Linked DNA regions of Elephas maximus indicus. The protein of the gene in region 1 interacts with the protein of each later gene in a biochemical or structural test. Links are inferred from orthologs where the notes say so. Each region holds a gene or a part of one and is shown in the gene's direction. Other genes may lie near its edges.

Evidence for each region.
Region 2: the proteins of KPNB1 (region 1) and KPNA3 form a complex in vitro, tested with the Homo sapiens proteins (2 studies listed by BioGRID and IntAct, with this or other methods). The link is inferred for Elephas maximus indicus from reciprocal best matches to the Homo sapiens genes KPNB1 and KPNA3.

What each region holds. Positions count from the first base shown.
Region 1 is NC_064837.1:45,772,529-45,784,365, reverse strand, and holds the start of KPNB1 (importin subunit beta-1), read left to right. Parts: upstream 1-7,082; 5' UTR 7,083-7,446; coding exon 7,447-7,486; intron 7,487-7,591; coding exon 7,592-7,650; intron 7,651-10,183; coding exon 10,184-10,366; intron 10,367-11,837.
Region 2 is NC_064832.1:28,638,584-28,650,186, forward strand, and holds the start of KPNA3 (importin subunit alpha-4), read left to right. Parts: upstream 1-6,537; 5' UTR 6,538-6,626; coding exon 6,627-6,695; intron 6,696-11,603. UniProt on the Homo sapiens protein: Functions in nuclear protein import as an adapter protein for nuclear receptor KPNB1. Binds specifically and directly to substrates containing either a simple or bipartite NLS motif.

The sequences.
Region 1 (11,837 bases):
GCAACATCATGATAAATGGAGACAAGATTAAGGTTGTCAAGGATTTCATTTTACTTGGATCCACAGTCAACACTCACGGAAGCAGCAGTCTAGAAATCAAAAGGTGAATTGCTTTGGGCAAATATGCTGCAAAAGACCTCTTTAAAGTGTTGAAATGCAAAGATGTCACCTGGAAGACTAAGGTGTGCCTGACTCAAGCCATGGCATTTTCGGTGGCCTCATATGCATGTGAAAGCTGGACATTGAATAAGGAAGACCGAAGAAGAATTGATGCCTTTGAATTGTGGTGTTGGACCACCCAAAGAATGAACAAATCTGTCTTGGCAGGAGTATGGTCAGAATGCTCCTTAGAAGCAAGGATGGCGAGACTATGTCTCACATACTTGGACATATTATCAGGAGGGATAAGTCTTTGGAGAAGGACATCGTGCTTGGTAAACTGAAGGGTCAGCGAAAAAGAGGAAGACCTTCAATGAGATGGATTGACACAGAGACTGCAACAGCGGGCTTAAGCATAGTGATTATGAGGATGTTGCAGGACCGGGCTGTGTTTCGTTCTGTTGTACACAGGGTCACTATGAGTCGGAATCTACTCAATGGCACCTAACAACAGCACTCCATGATATTCAATATTCTTTGCCAACACCATTATTCAAAGGCATCAATTCTTCTTTGGTCTTCCTTATTCATCGCCCAGCTTTTGCATGCATATGAGGCAATCGAGGGCTTCAGTCATGCGCATCTTAGTCCTCAAGGTGACATCTTTGCTTTTTAATGCTTTAAAGAGGTCTTCTGCAGATTTCCCTAATGCTGTGGTTGTCCTTAATTTCTGTGTACCTTTCAGTGTCTTCGTTTACGTTGCTCTCGTTGCGCTGACTTCCCCAGTATTGTGTATTGCCTCTCCCTTCATCAGAATTAACACGTGTCTACTATTACTATCTATTAAGTGATTCCGCCTCCCTCCCCTCCCATACCTGATAACCATCAAAGAATGTTGCTTTGTGTAAGCCTATTCTTGACTTTTATAAAAGTGGTATCATACAATATTTGTCCTTTTGTGATTGATTTATTTCACTTAGCATAATGTCCTCCAGGTTCATCCAAGGTATGTTTCGCAGACTCATCGTTATTCTTTATCGTTGAATAGTATTCCATTGTATGCATGTACCACATTTTGTTTACCTATTCATCTGCTGATAGACATGTAGGTTGTTTCCTTTTTTTTTTTTGCTATTGTTAATAATGCTGCAGTGAAAATGGGTGTACATATATTTGTGTCACTGCTCTTATTTCTCTAGGACATATAACTAGGAGTGGGATTGCTGGGTCATATGGTATTTCTACTTCTAGCTTTTTGAGGAAGTGCCACACCATTTTCCACAGTGGTTGAACCATTTTACAATCCCAGCTCCAATGAATAGGAACTCCAATCTCCCCACAACCTCGCCAGCGTTTGTTTTCTGTTTTTCTGATCAGTGCCATTTTTGCAGGAGTGAGATGGTACCTTATTGTAATTTTTATTTGCATCTCTCTAATGGCTAGGATTTCTACTTCTTAACTCTCGATACTTTTCCAAATGTCTACAGTGAGGAGCATGTATTACTTTGATAATTAGAGAAAGAACAAAGAAAGGAATTTAATGAGGATTGAGTAAATGAAAAGAGAAGCTGCTGAAGGTGTTTGGCTCAGGATCCAGCTCCTCGGCAGACAAGGGAGGGGGCAGGGTAGGGGTGGGGAAAGTCATTAAGTAATTGGTTCCACTTCCCTCCAAGTCTCTCAGAGGCCTCCCAAGTCAGGATTCAGGAAGATTTTACCTCTTTATTCTTGTCTGTTTTTCTTTCCCTTCCCTCTATCTCCCCAGTATTGCATCCCTTTCTGCTTTGGAAGGGATACAATTTAGAAATAAAATCACCATGTATTTTTAGAAGATTGATTATAGAAGATTTGCTGTGCCAGGTTCAATGGGGCCCTTGCCCTTGAGCTTACAAATCCTTCTTGAAACTTTCTCCTTACCCCTCTTAACTGATTTTTAAAACATTTTTTTCTAATAATAATAAAAAAAGTAGTATCTGTTAATTGGAGAAAATTTGGAATACACAAAGAAAAGAGTATAAAAAACTCAACTGTAATCCTACCATCCAGGGACAGCCATTATTAACACTTGGTTTATACTTTTCCAGTCTTTTTTCCTATTCACGGATACACAGATAGAACTCAAGCTCCTTTTCTTTGAACAAAATAGGATACTCTCCCCTAAGAGTATGGCACCGGACGCCCTTTCAACTCAGTACTGAAGTCACCCCTGAGGTTCACCCTTCAGCCAAAGGCTAGACAGGTCTATAGGAAAAACAATAACACACGTAGGAATGTGCTTTGTAGTTCAATCATGTATATGAGACTAATGGGCACACCAGCCCAAAAGCAAAGATGAGAAAGCAGGAAGGGTCATGAAAACTGGATGAATGGAAGCAGGGAACCCAGGGTGAAGGGGCGAATGTTGACACATCACAGTGTTGGCAACCAGTGTCACAAAACAATATGTGTATTGTTTAATGAGAAACTACTTTGCTCTGTAAACTTTTACCTGAAGCACAAAAAAAATTAAATTAAATTAAATTAAAAAAAGGAGAGGAAGAAAATTAACACTAACTAAGAATTAACCTTTAATTTTAAATTACCTCTGTATTTCGGCTAAGACTTTTGTTAAAACATCAAATGATTTTTTTTTAAATCAAGTAGCTAATTTAAAAACAAAAAACAGGCACTCTCTATGTATACTCTGCAAGAATTTTTATTGGGTTGGTATAAAAAAAAAATTTTTTTTTTTTTTTTTATACCTAAGGAGCCCTGGTGGCACAGTGGTTAAAGCATTCGGCTACTAACTGAAATGTTGGTTGTTCATATACCCACCAGCCACTCCATGGAAGATGTAGCTGTCTGCTTCCTTAAAGATTTACAGCCTTGAAAATCCTATGGGGCAGTTTTACTCTGTGCTATATAGGGTCGCTATGAGTTGGAATCGACTCGAAGGCAAAGGGCTTTTTTTGGGGGGGGGGTAGGATCACTATGTGTTGGAATCAAATTAACGGCAATGGGTTTAGCTTATACCTAGCCAAGTGTGTAAAATGTTGATGAATTTTTAACATATGAATCTACAATATTATGATGTTTTCTAAACAAGAGTGTGAACATTTTATACTTGATTAAATGACCTTTGACAGCATAATTTTTAACTGCTAACTAGAATTACAACAGTTGATCATAAGAATGTACCATAATTTATTTAATGAATCCACCATTGTTAGATATTTCAGTTGTTTTTAATTGTTAACTACTGTATTAGTTTACCCTGGTGGCGCACTGGTTAAGAGATTGGCTGTGAACCAAAAGGTCAGCAGTTCAAATCCACCTATGGAAATCCTATGGGGCAGTTCTACTCTGTCCTGTAGGGTCGCTATGAGTCAGAACTGACTTGACGGCAATGGGTTTGTTTTTTTGGTTTTGGTATTAGTTTTCTATCGCTGTTGTAATAGTTTACCATAACTTTAGCGACTTAAAGCAACACCAACTTGTAGTTCCGGAGGTCAGAAGTTTAATATGGATAGGTAGGGCTGAGTTCCTTCTGGAGGCTTTATGGGAGAATCTACTCCTTGCCTTTCCCTATTTTTAGAGGTTACCTGCATTCCTTGGCCACGCCTCACCCTGACCTCGGCTTCTGTCATCACAGAGCCTTCTCTGACTCGGACTCTCTTTTATGAGGACATTGGGTCCACCAGGATAATAAGTGATAATTTTACTATCCCGAGATGCTTGACTCAATCACATCTGCAAAGTCCCATTTGCCATGTAGATTAACATATTCCCAGGTTCCAGGGATTAGCACATGGACATCTTTGGGTGGTTCCAACAGTTAACATGCTCAGCTGCTACCTAAAATGTTGGTGGTTTGAGTCTACCTAATGGTGCCTTGGAAGAAAGGCCTGGTGATCTAATTCTGAAATATTGGCTATTGAAAACCTTATGGAGCACAGTTCTACTCTAGCACACAGGGGGGTCACCGTGAGTTGGAATTGACTCAACGGCTACTGGTTACTGGTAATTCAGACTACCCAGACCCAGTGCCGTTGAGTCGATTCCGACTCATAGTGACCCTATTCAGACTAGCACAACTAAAAATAATGCACTCTTCTATTTGTTTTCCTACCTCTTGCTGTTCTTTCTCCCTCTTATTCGTATTACCCACTAGTTTGGAACTCCATGTCCTCTCTTAAATATTTTGCTTTTCTCTCTCTCTTTATAGGATGTCAGGGTCTTAATGACCATTTCTGATCAACTGACTTATTTTTTCTTCCCCAAGCACCTGCCTTTCTTCCAAATCCCAATACAGTTTCCCTTGAATGTCCCTCTGTGACCATAAAGACAAACTATTTCTAAAACTGAATTCTTCAACCATCTCCCCCACCTTGACCCCAACCTCCTGCACCAACCTAGCTTCAATAAATGTTTTTACAATTATCCACTCTCCCAAACATTCAAGCTGGAGATCTAGGACTCACCTTTCATCCTTCCCTTTCCTCTGTATCTAATCAACCACTAAACCCCATCAATTCTATTGATTCAACATTTCTCTAATTGTTCCTCCTGGCCTTAGTTTGTGAGGAGCCCTGGTGGTGCAGTGGTTAAGGTGATTGACTGCTAACCAAAAGGTCAGCAGTTAGAAACCACCAGCGGCTCCAAGGGAGACAAATGGGGCAGTCTGTTTTGGTAGAGGTTTACTGTCTTAGAAACCCAATGGGTTAGACTATGAGCTGCAATCGACTTGACAGCAGTGGGCAGGGGCCCTAGTTCAGTCCCTTATCTATTACCTAATAACTGTTGCTATAGTGTAGTAGAAGCCTTTCTCCTAATCAAAACATACCACTTATTTCAAGGTAAGGGGGTATTATCCTGTCCTCGAGAAAGCCCTCTGTGACTGCCCCTCCCTGGGATACCATCTCCCCCTCCACAAGAAGTAATCCATAATGAAGTGCCCACTATGTGCTTGAGTTTTTCAGGCTGCATTATTTAATTTAATCTCTGCATTCCTTTAAGGTATTCTTTTAATGTTTAGACAAGGTAACTGAGAAGCTAATATGGGGTCGCTATGAGCCAAAATCGACTGGACAGCAACTAGCAACAACTTTAAAAATCAATGTGCCCTCAGTAGTATTATCATGACTAATGTTGAGCAGAGGAGCTGGCACAGAAAACTGCTGGAGAGCTGAAGAAAATTGGCTTGCAGTGAAACAAAATTATAGCTCATTCATAGTGTAACCCCAAAAACCCATTGCCAAAGAGTCGATTTCGACTCATGGCGACCCTATAGGACAGGGTAGAATTGTCCCGTTGGGTTTCTTAAGCTGTAATCTTTACAGAAGCAGACTGCCCCATCTTTCTCCCCTGGAGCGGCTGGTGGGCTCGAACTCAAGGACCTTTCAGTTAGCAGCCAAGTGCTTAACCACTGGAGCACCCAGGCTTCTTCATAGTGTAATTCACGTAAAGACAATTCAAAGATTTCCATGGATGTCATCTCACTTAACCTTCATTGATTTCTAATGAAGTTACGCAGGCCAGTTCTTTCTTAGTTAATAAAGTAAAAGGTTGGAAGTAGGTGGACTATTAAACCATAGGAATCAGCTAGCTACAGTATGCCTCATTTCCAGCTTCAGGATTGCAAAGGTATATCTAGCACAGAAAAATTTCTTCTTCCTCTTTTAAGGATCAAAGGCAGCTGGCCAAGCTTTCCTAATACTTGGTTGGGACCCCTCAGCATGAATAAGACTTCTGCCTAGGTTTTCCCAGTGTGGCTAGAAAAAAAAGGCTAGAGTAGAGAGCAAATACCTCACAAACTCCAAACAGCTACAGTTAACACTATCAGCAATACGGTGAAAAATGCAAAAGCTGAGCAATCTGTTAACTTGGGGCCCATTATCAATGGGAGGTGAAGTCAGGAAACCGCACGCAGTTTCTTTCTGTGCATTTTGCTAAGGAAAGACTTTCATTAGTTTCTCCCAATGTCCTAACTAAAAAAGGCTAAAAACCACAATCCTTTATGCCTGTTCACACATTCCTTCTGGTTCACGGTTGTGCCTTTATTGGGACACCTTTGGAGAATGATATACATTCCTATTCAGACTGGGTTCTAAGAAGAATCCAAGTGCCCACATCTATTGGAGTCAGGCCTTCTAACTGGACGTATTAGCATTCACCTTCTTGGGGAGGATGTTGCCGGCAGGGCCAAGGGCAGTTGGGAGTGCTAGAAAGCAGTCCGGACTAGGCCATTAACGGGCTGTGTGACCTTGGACAAGTTCCGTGCCCTCTCTGGTCCTCAGTTTCTACAATTGCAAATTGGAAATTGAACCAAATGGTCTCTTAAAATCCTCCCCAACAGAAAGCCTGGTACTAAATAGGCCTAGTTATTAAAGCAGCTTCCTGTGGACGCGGTACAGGGTTTTAACGGTCTCCCTCCCAGGCTCAGACCCGCCAAGTCCTAACTCAACACGCCCCTCGGAGTGACGGCGCTTTCCAAAACCGCAGCCCGAAGCGGCCCCAACACTGCTCCGCCCCTTCCCGGGGGCGTCCCATCGTGCCCCGCGCTAGGCCCCTAAAGCGGCCAGGGGCCTCCCGCCTTTCCGCGGAGTCGACCCCGAACACCTCTCTCCAGTTCTCCCGAGCACCCCAGTCTATCAACGTCTAGTGTCCTAGCCAATCACCCAGGCTCGGAGTCTTGCCTTTGACCCACCCTCCTCCTAGCGGTCAGCCAGTCTGAGCCCACGGCCTTTGCCAGGCCAATCCAATCAGCAGCCGGCTCAGACCTGCCCCACCCCAACCTCCCTTCCCTCGGCCAATCCGCATGCCCCATTCCGCTGCCCGCCCAGCCAACCCGGTCCTTGAAACCAGCGGGCGAATCGGCGCAAGGCGGCCCTTCAACGCTAACCGCCCGGCCAATTGGGGATTCCGCGTGGCCACAGCGGCAGCCAATCGACGTGGAGCGCGGTGCCGCGGCGGAGAGGTCCGGCCCGAATATCCCTCCGCCTCCCTCTCTCCCTCCCTCTCCCTCCCTGCGAGCCGCCGTTCACTTACTGCCTCCCTTCCTTCTTTCTCCCTCCGCCACCCGAGCACCAGCCGCGGTCTGAGCTGCCCCCGGGGTTCCTCCCCCACCGCCAGAAGAGCAGCTGCCGTCGCCGCGAGCCGCACATTAGAAGGGAGGAAGGAAGGAAAGAAGGAAGGAAGGAAAGGGGGCCTGAGTGACTAGCAAGTGGGAGCCGGTGAATGGGCTTGTGGTGACCCCCGCCCCCCACCCCACCCTCCCTTCCCACCCGACCCCCAACCCCCAACCCCAGTTAGAGTCGCCGCCCGAGAGGCCGGACCGTCGTCTTAGGAGGAGTCGGCGCCACCACCTTCGCGATGGAGCTGATCACTATCCTCGAGAAGACCGTATCTCCCGGTAGGACGCGGGGGCCGGGGGGTCGGGCCGAGGCGACTTGAAGTGGGGGAGGGGGAGGCCCTGCCCTTCTGACCCTGTCCCCTTTCCCACTTTCCTTCCCCCTAGATCGCCTGGAACTGGAAGCGGCGCAGAAGTTCCTGGAGCGTGCGGCCGTGGAGAACCTGGTGCGTGCCACCCTGCTCTCCCCCATCCCGCCGTCTTCCCATCTCCTGCGTCCGGGGCCTTCCCGCCCTCCCGGAGGCCCAGGCCTCGGGAACCTACCCCGCCCCATCCCGTCCCCCTCCCCCCGCACCCCGGTCCAACCTAACCCCGCCATCGGGAAGCCGGTGGGTGTGTCCCGCCCCAGGGCCCGGCGACTGGCCAATGGCGCAGCGCGCCGGGGTGACTGCCGCCCAATCGCCGCGCGGCCTGAGGGCGGCGGTGCGGCGGGAGGGAGAAAGAGGGAGGAAAGGGAAGTTAGGTTGCGCGGCGCTGCGTGTTCAGCAAGGGTGGGGGTGGGGGAGCCGGGCCTAGGGGCCATGTGGAAGCTCCGAGCCCAGCTGCCAGCCCTGTTCGGACCTGTGCTGGCTTCTCTTTCCTGTCCCGTGGCCTCTGGGGTTCTCTCCACTTACTTCCCAGAGCTCTGCCTTTTCCTAGCTCCCTTGGTCTGTGCTCATGGCTAGGGCTGGCACCCGAATGCCTCTTAACCCATTCCCGTTAATATTTCTTCCTAGTATACTCGGTTCTTCCTCTCCTGGGTTTTTTTTTTTTTTTTTTTTTCATTGATGAGCAGAGACTTAATCAGTAGGGATTTGCACCCAGACAACAGGCTGGAGCTTATCTTTGAGAAGATCGGGCCTATTTCCTGATGAAATCACAGAGGAAAGTTCCTCGTTTTTCATGTTTTCAAATTTAAAAGGCACAGAAAAAATGAAGATAAGCCCACTAGAGTATAAAGTCTGGCCTGCTGTATAAAAATGATTTCAACAGCCCATGTGCCAGTTAACGTTTCTCTGGTTTTCCTCTCCTGTTGTGGGAATGGGAGGGAGCATAGGGAAGGGTGGCTGATCCTTGACATCTTTTAAAGGTAATAAGCAATGTGTTGGTAACACTGTAACAAAATGTGTTCCTTTGAGTTTTCTAGGCAAAATAATGTAAGCAAAAAAAAAAAAGACAAGGCTTATTTTGTGCAGACTGCCAGTGGATGATGTATTTTGTTCTTATAATTGCTGGTTTTTATTTTTTTACTCTTATGTTTTTTTCTTTTTTTTTAATCTTTCCCCAGGAAAGGTTTTTTCTATTAGTATAGACTGATAACATTCCATAGGAATATATTCCTGTTTCTGCTTTTTATCTTATTTTAAAAATATTTTTTAGTGGTACAACATTTTAGTAAGACTTTTTTTTATTAATTGTGCTGTAAGTGAAAGTTTACAAATCAAGTCAGTCTCTAATATGAGAATTTAAATACACCTTGCTATATAGTCCTAATTGCTCTCCCCCTAATGAGACAGCACACTCCTTCCCCCCACTGTCTCTCTTCGTGTCCATTCGGCCAGCATCTGACCCCCTCTACCCTCTCATCTACCCTCCAGACAGGAGATGCCAACATAGTCTCACGTGACTACTTGATCCAGGAAGCTCATTCTTCACCAGTAGCATTTTCTATCCCATTGTCCAACATTAGTAAGACTTAAGAATATCTTCTGCCGTGACTAGAATTTCAGGTGCCAGGCAGTACTTGATAGTGGAAGAAACTGTCTGCTTTTGGCTTTTTCTGTAAACTTTTCCATTTGGACAGAGCTGCTTTTTTGGAGGGGAAGGGAGCGTGTATGTTAAAATTTTTAAACAAAGGGGGTAGCTTTTCCTAGGGGACCTGTGCATTACAAAAGATCGAGTGTGTCTTTCAGGGCTTCACTATGTTTAGTGCACAACTTAAGTCCAAAATGTAAAGCAGCTTTTATTTAATCTGTTAACTGTTAAATACAAAATCAGTTACCTTGGAACAACTTGCCTTGACTTTTCTTATCTTTTCCACTTAACCTTCTAAATATTTATGAATTCTTCCTTATAAATCTGCTTTTTCCACTGTTCCCCTTTCGCAGATGTAGCCTTATCCGCACTGTAACTAAAATATAGAGGATAGGCTTCTAAGTCTGTTTTAGGACTATTGATAAGTATTTCTCTTTCTTGTTCAAGATTTACTTTCACTAGTCCAAAAGCTACCCTTGGTATCTTTTTCTGACTGAGGTTTTTTTCTGACTGAGGATACTAAGTGACCTGGCCCAGTCAGCAGAGCTGGCCTGAATATTTGAAAATAGTTTTACTTTCTACCCTGTTACAACGTATTCATTCATTCAACAAATATTTATTGACTATCAGGCACTGGTGTAGATGTTTGGGATATTTCAATTGACGTGGAAGAATCCGTTGGCTACCAGATTGCCAGATTTGATTTAGTTCTGGAGATTTAATGTAAAGATTTGGCCATTAAGAAAGGTTTGCTAGGAAAATCTACAACTTCTTGTAAGTACTGTTTGACATTTCATGAGAAGATGGGTGACTTTAATAGGTACATTTTGGGGAATTATCTGAGACATTTATGATTTGCTCAAAAAAAAAAAAAAACAACTTTTCTCAGTGGTGTGGTGCTCATAAGCTATGCTCAGTTGGTGAAATTCTCGAGATGTTTTTATTTGTATATGCATCTCTTAACAGCCCACTTTCCTTGTGGAACTGTCCAGAGTGCTGGCAAATCCAGGAAACAGTCAGGTTGCCAGAGTTGCAGCTGGTCTACAAATCAAGAACTCTTTGACATCTAAGGATCCAGACATCAAGGCACAATATCAGCAGAGATGGCTGGCTATTGATGCTAACGCGCGAAGGGAAGTCAAGAACTATGTAAGTAACGTTCGTCTCCTTTTGGTCATATTCCCTAGGGAACAAGAAACATCTGTCAGCTCTTTTGTCATTTGCATGGAATAGAGCTGACGGTGTGATAGGTTTCTGAGATGTAAACTTGATTTGAAGATAAAAGCTGTATTTGATTTAAATCTTTGTCAGTTCAGCTTGTCCATTCCCATTGATAGATTGCGATCCCCCGCTCCCCCCGCCCCCATAACTTGAGGTGGACTGCAACACTTGGGGAAACTTTAATTAGTTGCCAGAACTGATAATGAAAGGAGTTTATAGAATCTCTTTGGTGAATTGGAGATAAAAATTGGTTTTACCAAACTTGAAGCGATGAGAATCACATAGAGAATTTATTAATGATACGTTCGTCCAGGCTCCCCCCAGAGCTTCTGAGTTGGTAGGTCTGGTGTGAGGCCCAGGAATATTTTTAAAACTGTCTTCCCAAGTGATTCTTCCACAGTTCAAGCGGCACCTAGCTTTTGGTGAACTGCTGTGAGTAATCCTCTTTCTCTGATGGTTTATGCATAGTACTCTGGAGCCAGAGGGCAATTAAATTATCTCTTGGCCCTTTCAAGGCCACAGAGTTTGCAAAATATTATTATGGCCGTTAAAGATGCTTTTATTTATTTGCAAATTATGAAAAACTTTCTTTAGAAACACCTGCCTCTTTCAAGGCATTGGAAAACTGAAATGATGAATTTTCCCAATATTTGAGGAAAGTCGAATGTCCCTTATTGCTTTGCATCATGGAGTTCTTGTGACTTGAGATAAAAATGCATGATTGAAGATGAAACAAAGGATTTGGAGTATACGAACAGATGTGCTCCTTTTTTTTTTTTTTAATTAGCGAGGTTCTTTAGTGGCTTGTATTACAGGGATAAAAGGCACAAGGGTGAGTCAGTTTAGCATCTGTGCAGTCATCAGTTGGTCTTTGGTTTTTGAGGGGAAACCATTAGGGGATTCCTATGTGTGTGTATGTGCAGGTCAAGGTTATGCACCTTACTTGCCATTTCCTTGTTGTGTCAGCATTAGGTAAATTAGTGATCCTTAAGACAGCAAATCTTTCTTTCTAGTTACGTACCTCCTTCCTTTTTCAGTCTTGCATGGAGGGGCCCACGACAGGGAACTAGGTTATGAAAGCGAGCTTATTTTGAATCTTTCTTGGAATACGTGAAGCTCTTTCTATCTACGTAGCGTCTTACGTAATAACGTTTTGATACCCCTTCTCCTCAGCAATTTGACATAAATGAAATTTATTCCATTATCTTGATGGTTATCGTGCCCGTTTGATTTCTCATTTCCTCTTGAATTACATAATAATAAGACAAAATGGGAATGGTAATTGACTTTTTTTGGCACATCAGTCTTAGCACCAAAATATTTTTTAAAATTTGGATCACAATTTATATAGGCATGGTTCAGTCTTCGTGCGTGAAAAAAACTTGACAGTCATCTTGGC
Region 2 (11,603 bases), on another chromosome or scaffold:
ATCGAAAGATTAAAATATGCTTCCTACAGTTTAACATTGTTTATTTTATTATAGTCTAATTATTTGAAAATTATACTGTAGGTGTAATGCATGTATTTCGAGCCCATCAGCCCATTATTATACAATGAGAGCATCTTATTTGCATTATCCACTTTATTATGTATAAGTCTTCATGGGCCCACTTTCCAGACATTAGCCCCCTCTAAGTGTCCTCAGCTATTTCTGAATGCTTCCCAGGTTCTTCCTCGCTGACTTCTCACCTTAATGCTGTGTCTGCTGCTACTGACTGTCAGGAGATCATTGCTCTACTGGGCACAGCATTATCCACAGCTGACACCCCTTGGAGAGGGGCCATCCCTTGGAGAGGAGGCCTCGCTTTCCTAGAGCCCCAAGAAATGTATTTCTTCTTTGGGGAAGCTGGAGGTCTTTGTCACCACCATCCTAGGTGTTGGCCACACCAGGAACCACTTGTGTTTCTGTGCTTGAGTCCTTTCATTGTTCCTGCTGCCGTTACAGACCCCAGAATCAGAGCCCTATTCTCCCACCTGTCCCAGAGAGAGAGGGAGATGATCATTTCAACCATGCAGGGTTCTCGGGGGGCTAGAGATGATGTATGTAAATGCCTGGCACACAGTTCATAGTCAGTAAATGGAAACTCTTATTATTGTTTTAGCCTTCTTTACCACCTACGTTTTTAAGAGCTGGGTAAGGAGCCTGTATGGTGCAAGTGGTTTGCAATCAGATGCTAACGTAAAGGTTAGCGTTCAAACCCACCCGGTGGCTACACAAAAGAAAGGTCTGATGAACTGCTTCCATAAAGATTACAGCCAAGAAAACACTATGGAGCAGTTCTACTTTGTACTACATGGGGTCGCTATGAGTTGGGGGCCACCTTGACTGGACGGCAGCTAACAACAGTTGGATTGATTGATTTGAATGTTATTTCCTTCGGTTTTCTGTATTTGCTTTGTTTCAGGTGCTCTTAGAGAGTAGTAAAGTAGCCAAAAGGTGATCGTGAGGGAAGGAGAGAGTTCATACATTTATTCATTAGTCCATTTATTCATTCAACAAACATGCATTGAGATCCAATTATTCTTGGGAAAACACAAATACGTACAAGCCATTTTAAGGGTTTATAGGTAAGCAAAAGAAAAAAGATGCTACACACATTGCAGCAACACAAAACAGTGTGTTGCTGCAATTTGTGTAGCGTCAGTTTTCCTAGAAAAGTCCTTCGGAGATTCATAGAGAAAAGATACCACTCCTGGTTGGAAAAATAGTAGCAACTATCAATAGTTGTTACTATAAAAAATAATACATTAGTATTTTTAGTACTTTAAAGTACTAAGTTTAAAGTACTTTTGTAGTAGGGTAACAAGTATTTTAGTAATTAACATAATGTTTATTATAGTCTAATTATTGGAAAATTATGGTGTAGAAGTAATGCACGTGTCCCGGTCCCATCACTTCAGTAGTATAAAATGAGATGACCTTAAAGTAATTTAAAGTGCTTGCAAGCGCATTTTAGAGTTTGACTCTCACAAAATTCCCACGATACAGAATCCTCTTTTGGAGATGAGAAGAGGATTCAGGGAAGATAAGTGGGCTGCCTGGGTTTGGTCTGTTAGGAAGTCAGCACTAGAGCCTGAGTTTTCAGATTCTTGAGTTCTCACCACTACACCATTCTGGGAAAGCTTCACGGAGGAGGTGACCACTTCAGCTGGGCATTTAAAGAGGGGTCGATTTTGACAGACAGAGATGAGGGCAGGGCCTTCTAGGAAAACTGAACAGAAAAGATGTCAATGCTGGAAAGGTCAAGGCATATTTGGGACAGGGTGAGTAGAACATGTTAGCTGAAACATCAGCTATGTGCAGGGAAGCCAGAACTAGGAAAGGTGTTCTGTAACGGGGCCAAATCACATATGATCTTAACCACCAGACTGAGGAGTTTATAAATGGTTTGGGAGATAATGGTGGAGAGAGGGGGTGTCCTGATCACAGAGTAGAGGTGAAGCCAGGAAGTCTGGGGAAGGGAGTCAGCTTGTTGCAGGGAGGATGGAGGAGGCAGGGAGACCAGTTAGGAGGTGTTATGCTAGTCTTACTCGATGGCTATGGGCTTTGGTTTTTGTTTTCTTTTTTGGTTAAGGTAGTCTCGATGGCGCAAACAGCAAAGAGCTCGACTACCTGCTGAAAGGCTGGAGGTTTAAGCCTATCCAGAGGCACCTCAGAAGAAAGGTCTGGTGATCTGCTTCTGAAAGGTCATAGCCATGAAAACCCTGTGAAGCAGTTCTACTCTGCACCTGTGAGGTCACCAGAATCAACTCCACAGCAACTAACAAAAACAACATGATAGTCTCGTGGGTGGTGTGGGAAGGAGAGACACCGAAGGGTGAATTTACAGTGAAGGTAGGAAGCAAAGCTGGTTCTTAGCTCTCAGTGGAGTCTCTACGGGAGTGGTTACGCTGTTAACATAGGGAATTTGCAGAGAAAAGGTAGCTTAGTAGAAAAATTATGAACTCCTTTTTGTTGTGTGTGTGTTTCCTGTTGAGTATTGGCACCCAGCTGCCCCCTAGCATGACTCCCAACGCCTTGGCAAGGTAAACAGTGAGTCAGAGGGTGAAGACAGGGTAGCCTGACCACCAGGCTGAGAACCCTCCTTCCTGGTCTGGAGGCACAGGTTCTAGTGAGCAGGACCCTTTGGCCCCAAGGACTCCTTTCCTTACGGGGAGAGTGCAGCCAGAGGGAGCAAGAGTGAGGTTCTCTAAAGGGAGGCCCCTTGCCCAGATCTAACCTTGTCATCTTTATTCCTTGCCATTATCCCTGGTAACTTCAGCATCCGCAAACCTGGTACCCTGGCCAGAGAGTTTCTCCACAGCCTTAACTACACCAAGTGTCTACCTCATATAGTGCCCACCAGACCTTGGAGCCCTTAACCTCTAGGAAATAACCATCTCCAGTGACTCAAATTTTGTGCTTCTAATTGCTAATTGGAGCCCTGGTGGCATAGTGGTTAAGTGTTGTGGCTGATAACCAAAAGGTTGGCAATTTGAATCCAACAGCTGCTTCTTGGAAACCCTGTGGGACAGCTCTACTCTGTCCCATAGGGTCACTATGAGTCAGAATTGACTTGATGGCAACGGGTTTGGTTTTTTGGCTTAATTGCTGATTATATCCTCTTTGCTCACTGGCCTTTGCCCTTGCCCTGGAATTTCTCCTGAAAGCTCTTCTTTTACATGGATTTATTTTCCAAATATATTTTGAGTATTCACCACATAACTAGCATCATATTCATCAGGAACCTGTATTAAGAGGCAGGGGAGTAGGAAAAGGGAAGGGACTTGGTAGGTTGGTAGGGGGGACTGGCACCTATGTCTCTACACCATGGGATTCCCTGTCGAAATGGCATTAAGTCTGCTTCCAGGTCTTCTCAAGTCTCTTCCCTGGGTCCATCCTCCAGGGGGCATGTCATGCCACTGCTTTGTTCTCTCTAGGCTGAGCAGTCCCTGGGTGGTGCAAATGGTTAACATGCTTATCTGCTCACCGACAGGCTGGAGGTTCGAGTCCACCCAGAGGCACCTTGGAAAAAGGACTTGGCGATCTGCTTCTGAAAATCAGAAAACCCTATGGAGCACAGTTCCACTCTTACACACATGGGGTTACCATGAGTCAGAGCTGACTTGATGGCAACTGACTGAGGCCTGACCAATGGCAAGGGCCACCTCTTCAGGGAGTAGGGGGATGCTGACAGCTTTGGGGGTGCGTGGGCAGAACTTGAATGTTATGTGCAGGGGTATGCACACATATTCTTAAAGTCTGTTCCAGAGGGGGACAGAACCAGGATATGGGAAAGAAGGGGAACAGAAAGTGGGCTGTGGGCTGGGCTGGGGTCCTGCCCTCTTTGAGCTGCCACATTCTGAAGCAGAATTCCAAGAAGTCAAGAAATTTAAATGTGAACCCAGACTTCCAGGTTGTTAAAGAGGTGCATTTGTGAATGTAGGAGGCTAGGATGTATTTTATTCAAGGTTGTGTGCTTGATTTATAACTTTTAAATATTCAGACATATGCTATGCGGACTTCCATTTGCACTAAGTTCCTCAAATGTTAAGAGTCAAGAGTTGGCAGGTTATAAAGGTCTCCCTGCTATGAGCCTTGAGCTTTCTTCTCCTTTCTTAACATCCATACTTTTTGGGTGATTACTTATTTCATTTTCTGTCTTCTCTGATAGATGTGAATCTGTGTGGAGGCAGGAACCAGGCTATCCTGTTTACAAAGCATCCTACTGCTAGTACAATGGCTGACACATAGTAAGCACTCATTAAGCGTGCCACAGACTAAACTGAGTGATGAAAGATGTACACATTTGATGACAGCAGATAGGGTAAAGAGATGATAAACCAAAACCAAACCTGCTGCCGTCTAGTTGATTCCGACTCATAGTGACCCTACAGTACAGAGAACTGCCCCATAGGGCTTCCAAGGAGTGCCTGGTGGATTCGAACTGCCAACCTTTTGGTTAGCAGCTGTAGTTCTTAACCACTACACCACCAGGGTCTCCAGAAGGGGATAAGGTGAACTGAATAGAGAACCCTTTGCTAAAGTAGAATAGAGATTGAACAACAGTCTAGAAACCTCTCTCCCTTCCTTCTCAGTGAATCAGGGAGAGTGGCAAACATGCAACCTCTGTCTCCTTAAGAACCAGAGTTGAAGTAATCTATTCTCAGACTTTTGTTTTTTTCTTTCAAATGAGTATTGGACTAGGATCAGGTATTGCAAGCTGGGGGTCAAGTTCCAAAGTGCCTGGACCGCTGAAGAGCATTGAAAATATGAGTCAACATTTAAAAAAGATTTAAGAAAAAAAATTCAGGTTTTGGTTTCCCTTGAAAATTTGTAACTCTGGCAACCCTCGGCCACATTCCAATATGGCAACAGTGGTCTGGAGCCTTAAAGGGCCTGTGTTTATCAAGAGGCCACATGTCACCCTCACCAAAAGAATGCCCCTGGACAGCGTGGCCAGCTCCACTTGGCTCTCTGCCTGGCCACTGAAGGCCTCTGAGTTTATGACCCCTGCACCTCTAACTCTTTAAGGTTCCTTCGGTGGCATAGTGGTTAAGAGCTACGGCTGCTAACCAGAAGGTCAGCAGTTTGAATCCACCAGGCTCTCCCTGGAAGCTCCATGGGGCAGTTCTACTTTGTCTTTATAGGGTCGCTATGAGTCAGAATCGAGGTGAAGGCAGGGGTTTGTTTTAAAAGATTGTCTTCATCCGTTAATCTCTCCATGGTTATATTTCTACCAACCTTTGAATGATCTCAGTTTATTTGAATTACATGTACTATAACATGGCATGCCTACTTATATGTGGCATAGATTCGGAAATGGAATTATCTCACAAGCCCATCGGCTCCAGAAAGCAGCTCTCTATTAGTGTTATTGATCCAAATTTCCCTCGATTATTTCTCAGATGACGCTACGGGGAGATGCTAGAATGGAGAGTCAGCAGACTGGAGATTGACTGCTGCTTGAAGACTGAGGTTATGTGTGGAGACCGCGGAAAAAGAGGTGTGAGAACTGCAGCAGAGTGGGTGTTGTAGAATCGGGCCTGGGAGGATGATGAAGAAACAGCAAGTTGCGAAAGCGGTATAATTTGTTCAACGAGCATTTACTGGGTACCTTCGACGTGCTAGGCACTGTTTTGACGTGAGGGATTCAGTAATAAATTAAAATCCCTGCACTCATCGAGTTTAATCCGGGCACAAGAAGTCAGGTAACATACACATGGACCCACATATCACATGCAGACTAATGTACGTGTCAGGTGGAAATAAATTCTATTTATAAAACCAAAGCAGAGCAAGGGAACAGCGAATGAGGGTGGCTGCTATTTCAGGGGACCCAAAGAAGTGGGCGAGCAAAGAACGCACCATGGTTCTTCTCTAATTTTCCAGGCTACAGAGGGCGAAGTGTGCCTTCCATGACGCCCCGCCCCCTCTCCCTCCCAATAGGGCGCAAGGTGCATCTCCAGGGAAGCACCTCCCTCTGCCCCGCCCAGAGGCGGTATTGGGGGCGGGGCTTCGCTCCTCGGCACTCGGCCGCCCCGCCGAGAGCCCTAGAGCGCAGGAATCCCGGCATTCTCCTCGTTCTCTCACAGGGCTGGAGAGTTACCCCCGGCCGGAGCCTGGCATGCTGGGAACTGTAGTTTCCGCCCGCCGCTCTCGTCTGGGGATTGGTAAAAGCCGCTGAATCCGGCTCCATTTCTGGCAGATAATTTGCAGCCCCGAGGGGTTATGGGGGAGGCCTTCCCAAGGGGCTGGGGTCATCCCAAGAACCAACCGGACACATCCAGCCGGGCGAGCGTCCAGGCGGGTCCCTGCTCTCAGTCACGTGTCCCCAGCCTCCCCCGGCGCACGCCGCTCCCCGGAGCCGTTCCCGCCACGCCCCGCCTGGCCGTCGGCCGCGCCTCCTCCGGCGCTGCCGCCACCTCGCGCTAGGAGGCGTCACGGAACGTGCTCTCCTCTCCCCCTCCCCCTCCCTCCCTCCCACTCTCCCCCACCTCCCCCTCCCGCGCCGACTCTCGCCGCCGCCGCCGCCGCAGCCGCAGGAGTAGCCGCCCACGGAGCCGCGCGCAGCCATGGCCGAGAACCCCGGCTTGGAGAACCACCGCATCAAGAGCTTCAAGAACAAGGGCCGCGATGTGGAAGTGAGTGTGCTTCCGCGGTCTGGGCCTCGCGGCTCGCCCGCCCGCCCGGCCGCGCCAGCCCGGCGGCGGCGGGAGGGGCGGGGGGCGGGCGCCGGGCTGGTTCTCGCCGGCTCGCGGTCGGTCGGAGTTGGCCGCCGCCTCCCGTCACCGGGGCCCGGGGCTGGGCAAAGCGGGCGGCGGGGCGAGGGCCGGGCTGCAGCCGCCCTCCGGAGCTGCCGGCGCGGCGACAGGGAAATGCCGGGGCTTTCGGCCCCGTCACGCGGGCGCGGCCTGGTGTCGGCGAGGAAGGGATGTGGAGCTGAGGCGGGGTCCGCGGGCTGGGGCCGCGCGGACGGCGATGCTGCGGCCCGGGCCGGGACCCGCATCGCCGAGGGGCGGCCGCGGCTGGCGCCCACTGCCGCTCACCTCCGCTCGGCGCAGCCTCCCGGTGCCTCCCGCGCTGCCGCACATGGAGCCGCGGCTCTGCCGGTCCCCTCGCCTACCTTGGAGAGCCGGGCCCAGGCGGGCGGCGGCGGCCCGCAGAGGGGGGTGGGGACCAGCCGGGTAACTGACTTGTTTGAGGGTGGTGGGTGGGGGAGGGTAGGATGCGCCAGGACCATTTTCATGTATTCCAGTGCTGTCCTTTGGGCCAGTCGTGCTGTGCTTTTCCAGCCCCTATTCTGTTCCTTCTGGCATTTGGAGCATACAGGAGGTGGACAGTAGTTTACCATCTATTGTGTCGAGGCTTTGGAGGAGAGGTTTTTCTCACCTCCGCTTGTAGGACCTGTTTTCCTAGCGTTTCTTGGAGTAGGGTGTGCATCGGGTGATTTCTTTGCAGTGTTTTACTGAAATAAATTGAATACATAGGTTCATTCGACCTTGTATACCTCTTGGTCCAAGCTGGTAGGGTTTCCAAGTGGTTACAAAACTGTAAACATTCATCGCGGTCGCTCAGTTTGTTGCTACTCAGCTTGTTGCCATTGTCTCGTTGAGGTGACATTAGCAGGTACTATTTGCAAATCGGGCTTATCAAGGCAGCGCTAGAGGTCTCTCTGCAGCTACTAATAGCTGTGAAGTATAATGCACAAACTTCACTGGGACTCTGACCTCCGGATTTGTTAGGGGGAGAATGTTTTTAAGTCCACAGCCTCCTTTTGTAATTCGAGGTGGCATGAATTGCCGCTCTGTGATTGTTCCCAAGGGGCCAGTGCGATTAAGAAGTGCGTGTTTTGTCCCGTCTTAAAGAGGGAAGGTGGTGGGGAAAAGATACTATTCAGTGTTTTTTTGTAGAGGAACAGACGAAACTCAGGCCATTTTTCAGAGGTGCAGAGTTAAATACTAACTGGAAAAAACCCTAGGGAAATATCTGTGGAATTCCCATTTGAATGAGACAAATAAAGGTCATCTCTCTCTGTCCTGGTCTTGGTTAAAATTTCCTTTGTGAGAAATACATCTAAGTGAAAGTGAAATTTAGAAATAGCAAGAGGAAATTTTGGAACTATCTCCTGCAATTGGTTCACTTGATGATAGGAGTTAAGTTTTAACTTTCTCCATCAGTAGTTTTCTTGAAGCTACCACTACTGTAAAGCAAAGCTTGTGTAGCCTTAAAAAATACCTTTTGTACAGAAGAACTAATAACATTCTTTCTTGCTTTTCTTGGTTATTGGTACAGGTTTTTGTCTGCCCCTGTTCTATGTTCCAGGAGTGCAGTGATACTTATTAAGGACTCCTGAACGTAATAGGTACACAGAAGTATTTGCTGCTGATCAGAAGGTGACCAGTGACTTTTGGATGCCTGAAAAAGACAGCATGGTTCCTTGAAAATATTAATTACACCAGCATCACACTTCCAGGATACATTAGAATACCTAAGGGCCTGAAATAGCAGATATTCAGATGGTAGTTGTACGTGGCAGACGCTATACTGAGAGCTTCGTGATATCTCATTTAATGGTGTTATAAGCCAGGTATAGCATTATCCCCACTACCTGAGGAGAGTATTTTAGATGAGGAAGTTCAGGGTGGTTATGTAGCCTACACAAGGTCACGCAGTGGGTATGAGTGTTCATTCACTGACTTTCTATTGGGTGTCTTAAGAGTGTGCCCAGCCAACGCAATATTAGGTCTTGGGGATAGAAAAGTAAATATAATTCAGTGTGTGCCTTCCAGGAGCTGACAGTCTAGTGCGGGTGATAGAAGAGTAAACTGATGATTACAGTGCAGTATCTCCACCAGGGTTATGGTATAGGTACTCTGAGAATGCATGAGAAGACCCTAACTTGGAGCTGAGGGTCAGGGGAGATGTTCCCGTGGATTCTTAATGCATGAATGGGAGTGAGAAGGATGAAGGAAAAGACCTCCAGGCCAAGGGCTGGAGGAGGGGGAGGGGAAGGAAGACACAGTCCAGAATGAGGGTACAGTAATGGAAGAGTTCTGAGAGAAGGTAGCAAGACTGCTGTGTCTCTGAGAGAAAAGGGAGTGCCAGAGATGTGATTAAAGATGGTTTGGGGTCAAATCTGATCAAATGCCGTTATTGTGGATTTAGGCATAATTAAGACTAGACCCCTGCCCGCCAATGTAATTTAGTCTTTGCCTTTAGAAACTTGTACTACAACTTAGCTCTGTGACTAAGTAGTTGGTGATTATCAGGCTGTTCCCAAACAGGAGATGCACTTTGATGAGATATTCCTACCTTCTCATAAAGAGGATGGACAAAAGATCAGACATATTATAAACTATGCAACCAGCTGATATACAAATAAGATGCTAAGTGCAGGGATAAATATTTTCTAAAGAAAAGTGTAGAATTGTGTCAGGACATTGTGGGTGGGGAGAGGGTGGAGGAGGAAATCATTTCATAGTCATTCAGTCAAGAATGGCTTCATAGAAAGATTTTAAGAGATCCTTGGAGAGGAAAAAAAGCAAGGTTGGTAAATCTTAAAGGACTTGAAAGGTGCTCGTGAGAAGTTAGTGACTAAAAATCTAGGTGAAAAAAGAGATTAGGGAGTGAAGAGATAAGATTTGCAAATGTCCTGTGGTGGTCTGAGAATATGCCTTGTGACAAAGAGTTGGTTGGAAGCCTTTTCTTGATAGGAAGATTTATTTATCTCAGAGCAGAGTTAGAAGCTGTAACATGATTAGAGCAGTGGAAAGGGTGACTGACAGTAACGTCTTCAATTCGTTCTGGAGGAGTAGTGTTGTGATCCAGTCTGCAAGGAGGAATTTTCTAAAAATGAGTTGGACGTAGTCTGGAATGAGGTTGGGATTTTCTTCTTTTCTTTTTTGATTTGTGTTTAAGTGCAAAGCTCACAGAGAGGAAGTGGTTAAAGATTTTCCTAAGGTTTTTAGATAGAGATGGGGAGGGAATAATTATCACTGATAGCAATTGGGAGCTTGAGTAGGGGAATGGAATTTGTAGGTAAAACTAGGAAATACACAATGAAAGGGAAACTCTTAATTACTTTTATTTAGGCTGGAATGTGTGCTTCAATACTAGACCTTTTCACATAAGGCATTGATTCTTATTTTCTCACATTTTAAAGAAGTATTTAAAAATCTTCAAACATGAGTATAGGAAAGTTCTGTCCAGTGAGTGCTTATAAACACCTAGGTAACTGTCACTCAGGTCAATTTTTCTTTTTCTTGCTCCTGTATACCTCAAGGATGTGACAACATTTTCATCAGTTACAGTAGTTAATATAAGTGCCACATAAGGCCCTACCTTTTTTTTTTTTTTTTTTTTTTTACCTCATCTGCCACTTTTCCTTATATCTCTTTTGTGCCTGCCATGATAAAATGTTCAGGATGGTGGAGTAACCAGTAGATTTCATCTCCATGCCTTTGTATATGCTCTTCTTTTGTGTGTGTGTGTGTGTGTACAAGCTATTCTATATGCCTTCTTTGGCTATATGTTGAATTGTTCTTACCTTGGCAAAATCTTTCTTCGCTCAGACTCCTTCACGAATTTCTGGAATACTAAGTTTACAATTCTGTTACACAATGCCATTCTGTTTTTTTTAAAAAAAAAAAGACCTTCAGAAGTTCTCTACAAGGCCTTTCCTGACTAATAACATACTTGGTATCATCAGTGCTTATTCTTTTTCTCCTTTCCCTCTAATGCTTTCCTAAGTGAATTTTCCTTCACCTATTTGGATGATTTGCTGGAATGTGCCACAAATTATGTATGTGGCTAGCTATTAAAGTATGTGGGCTCTGTCAAGAAGCCCACTGAGGGCAGAGGCTTTGGGCTGTGGTTGGTCATTTAGTGCCCAGTACATAAAATTTCATAAATGTTCTTTGAGAAGAGAGACTAAACACTGGACATTTTGGGAATAATAGGTATGGTATTATTCTGAGATATTAGTAATTTCTTTTGGTTTTGACTCCATGGTATTGATACTGTTGCCTAGCCCTTCTCTGGCAGCCTGCTCTGCTGTAATGTATTTCAGTAACACAAACTAACTTGTACTTGAACGGCAAATAGAGGAATGATGTTAATGCAAAATCTATAGTGGTTCGTTATTTGACTTTTACCAGCGCATTGATGTTTAGCGCTCCCATGTAACAGCGGTTGTACACAAAATACAGAAACACAGCTGAGTGCAGCAAGCCCAGGAGCGTGCCTGTTGCCTGGTCACCTCACATTCTGCCTCTTGGCTTAATTTAGCCATGTGCTGTGTTTTAAAGGTGCTTATTGCTCAAACCATCTTTGTGCATGTCCCTTTCTCCCTAATTTTCCAGAACATGAAGTTTTTCAGGAATCTCTTTGTCATATAGCAGACACACTATAATTATCTTTTCACTGGGAGGGCATAGACTCTGTTCTGGTCCTTCTACTATACTGAATGCTCTTTCTTAGTCTGCTTTGCTACCTCCTGTCCCTCCCGGCTGAGTGCAGCCATGTCTTACTCTGTATGGGATGCGCTTCTC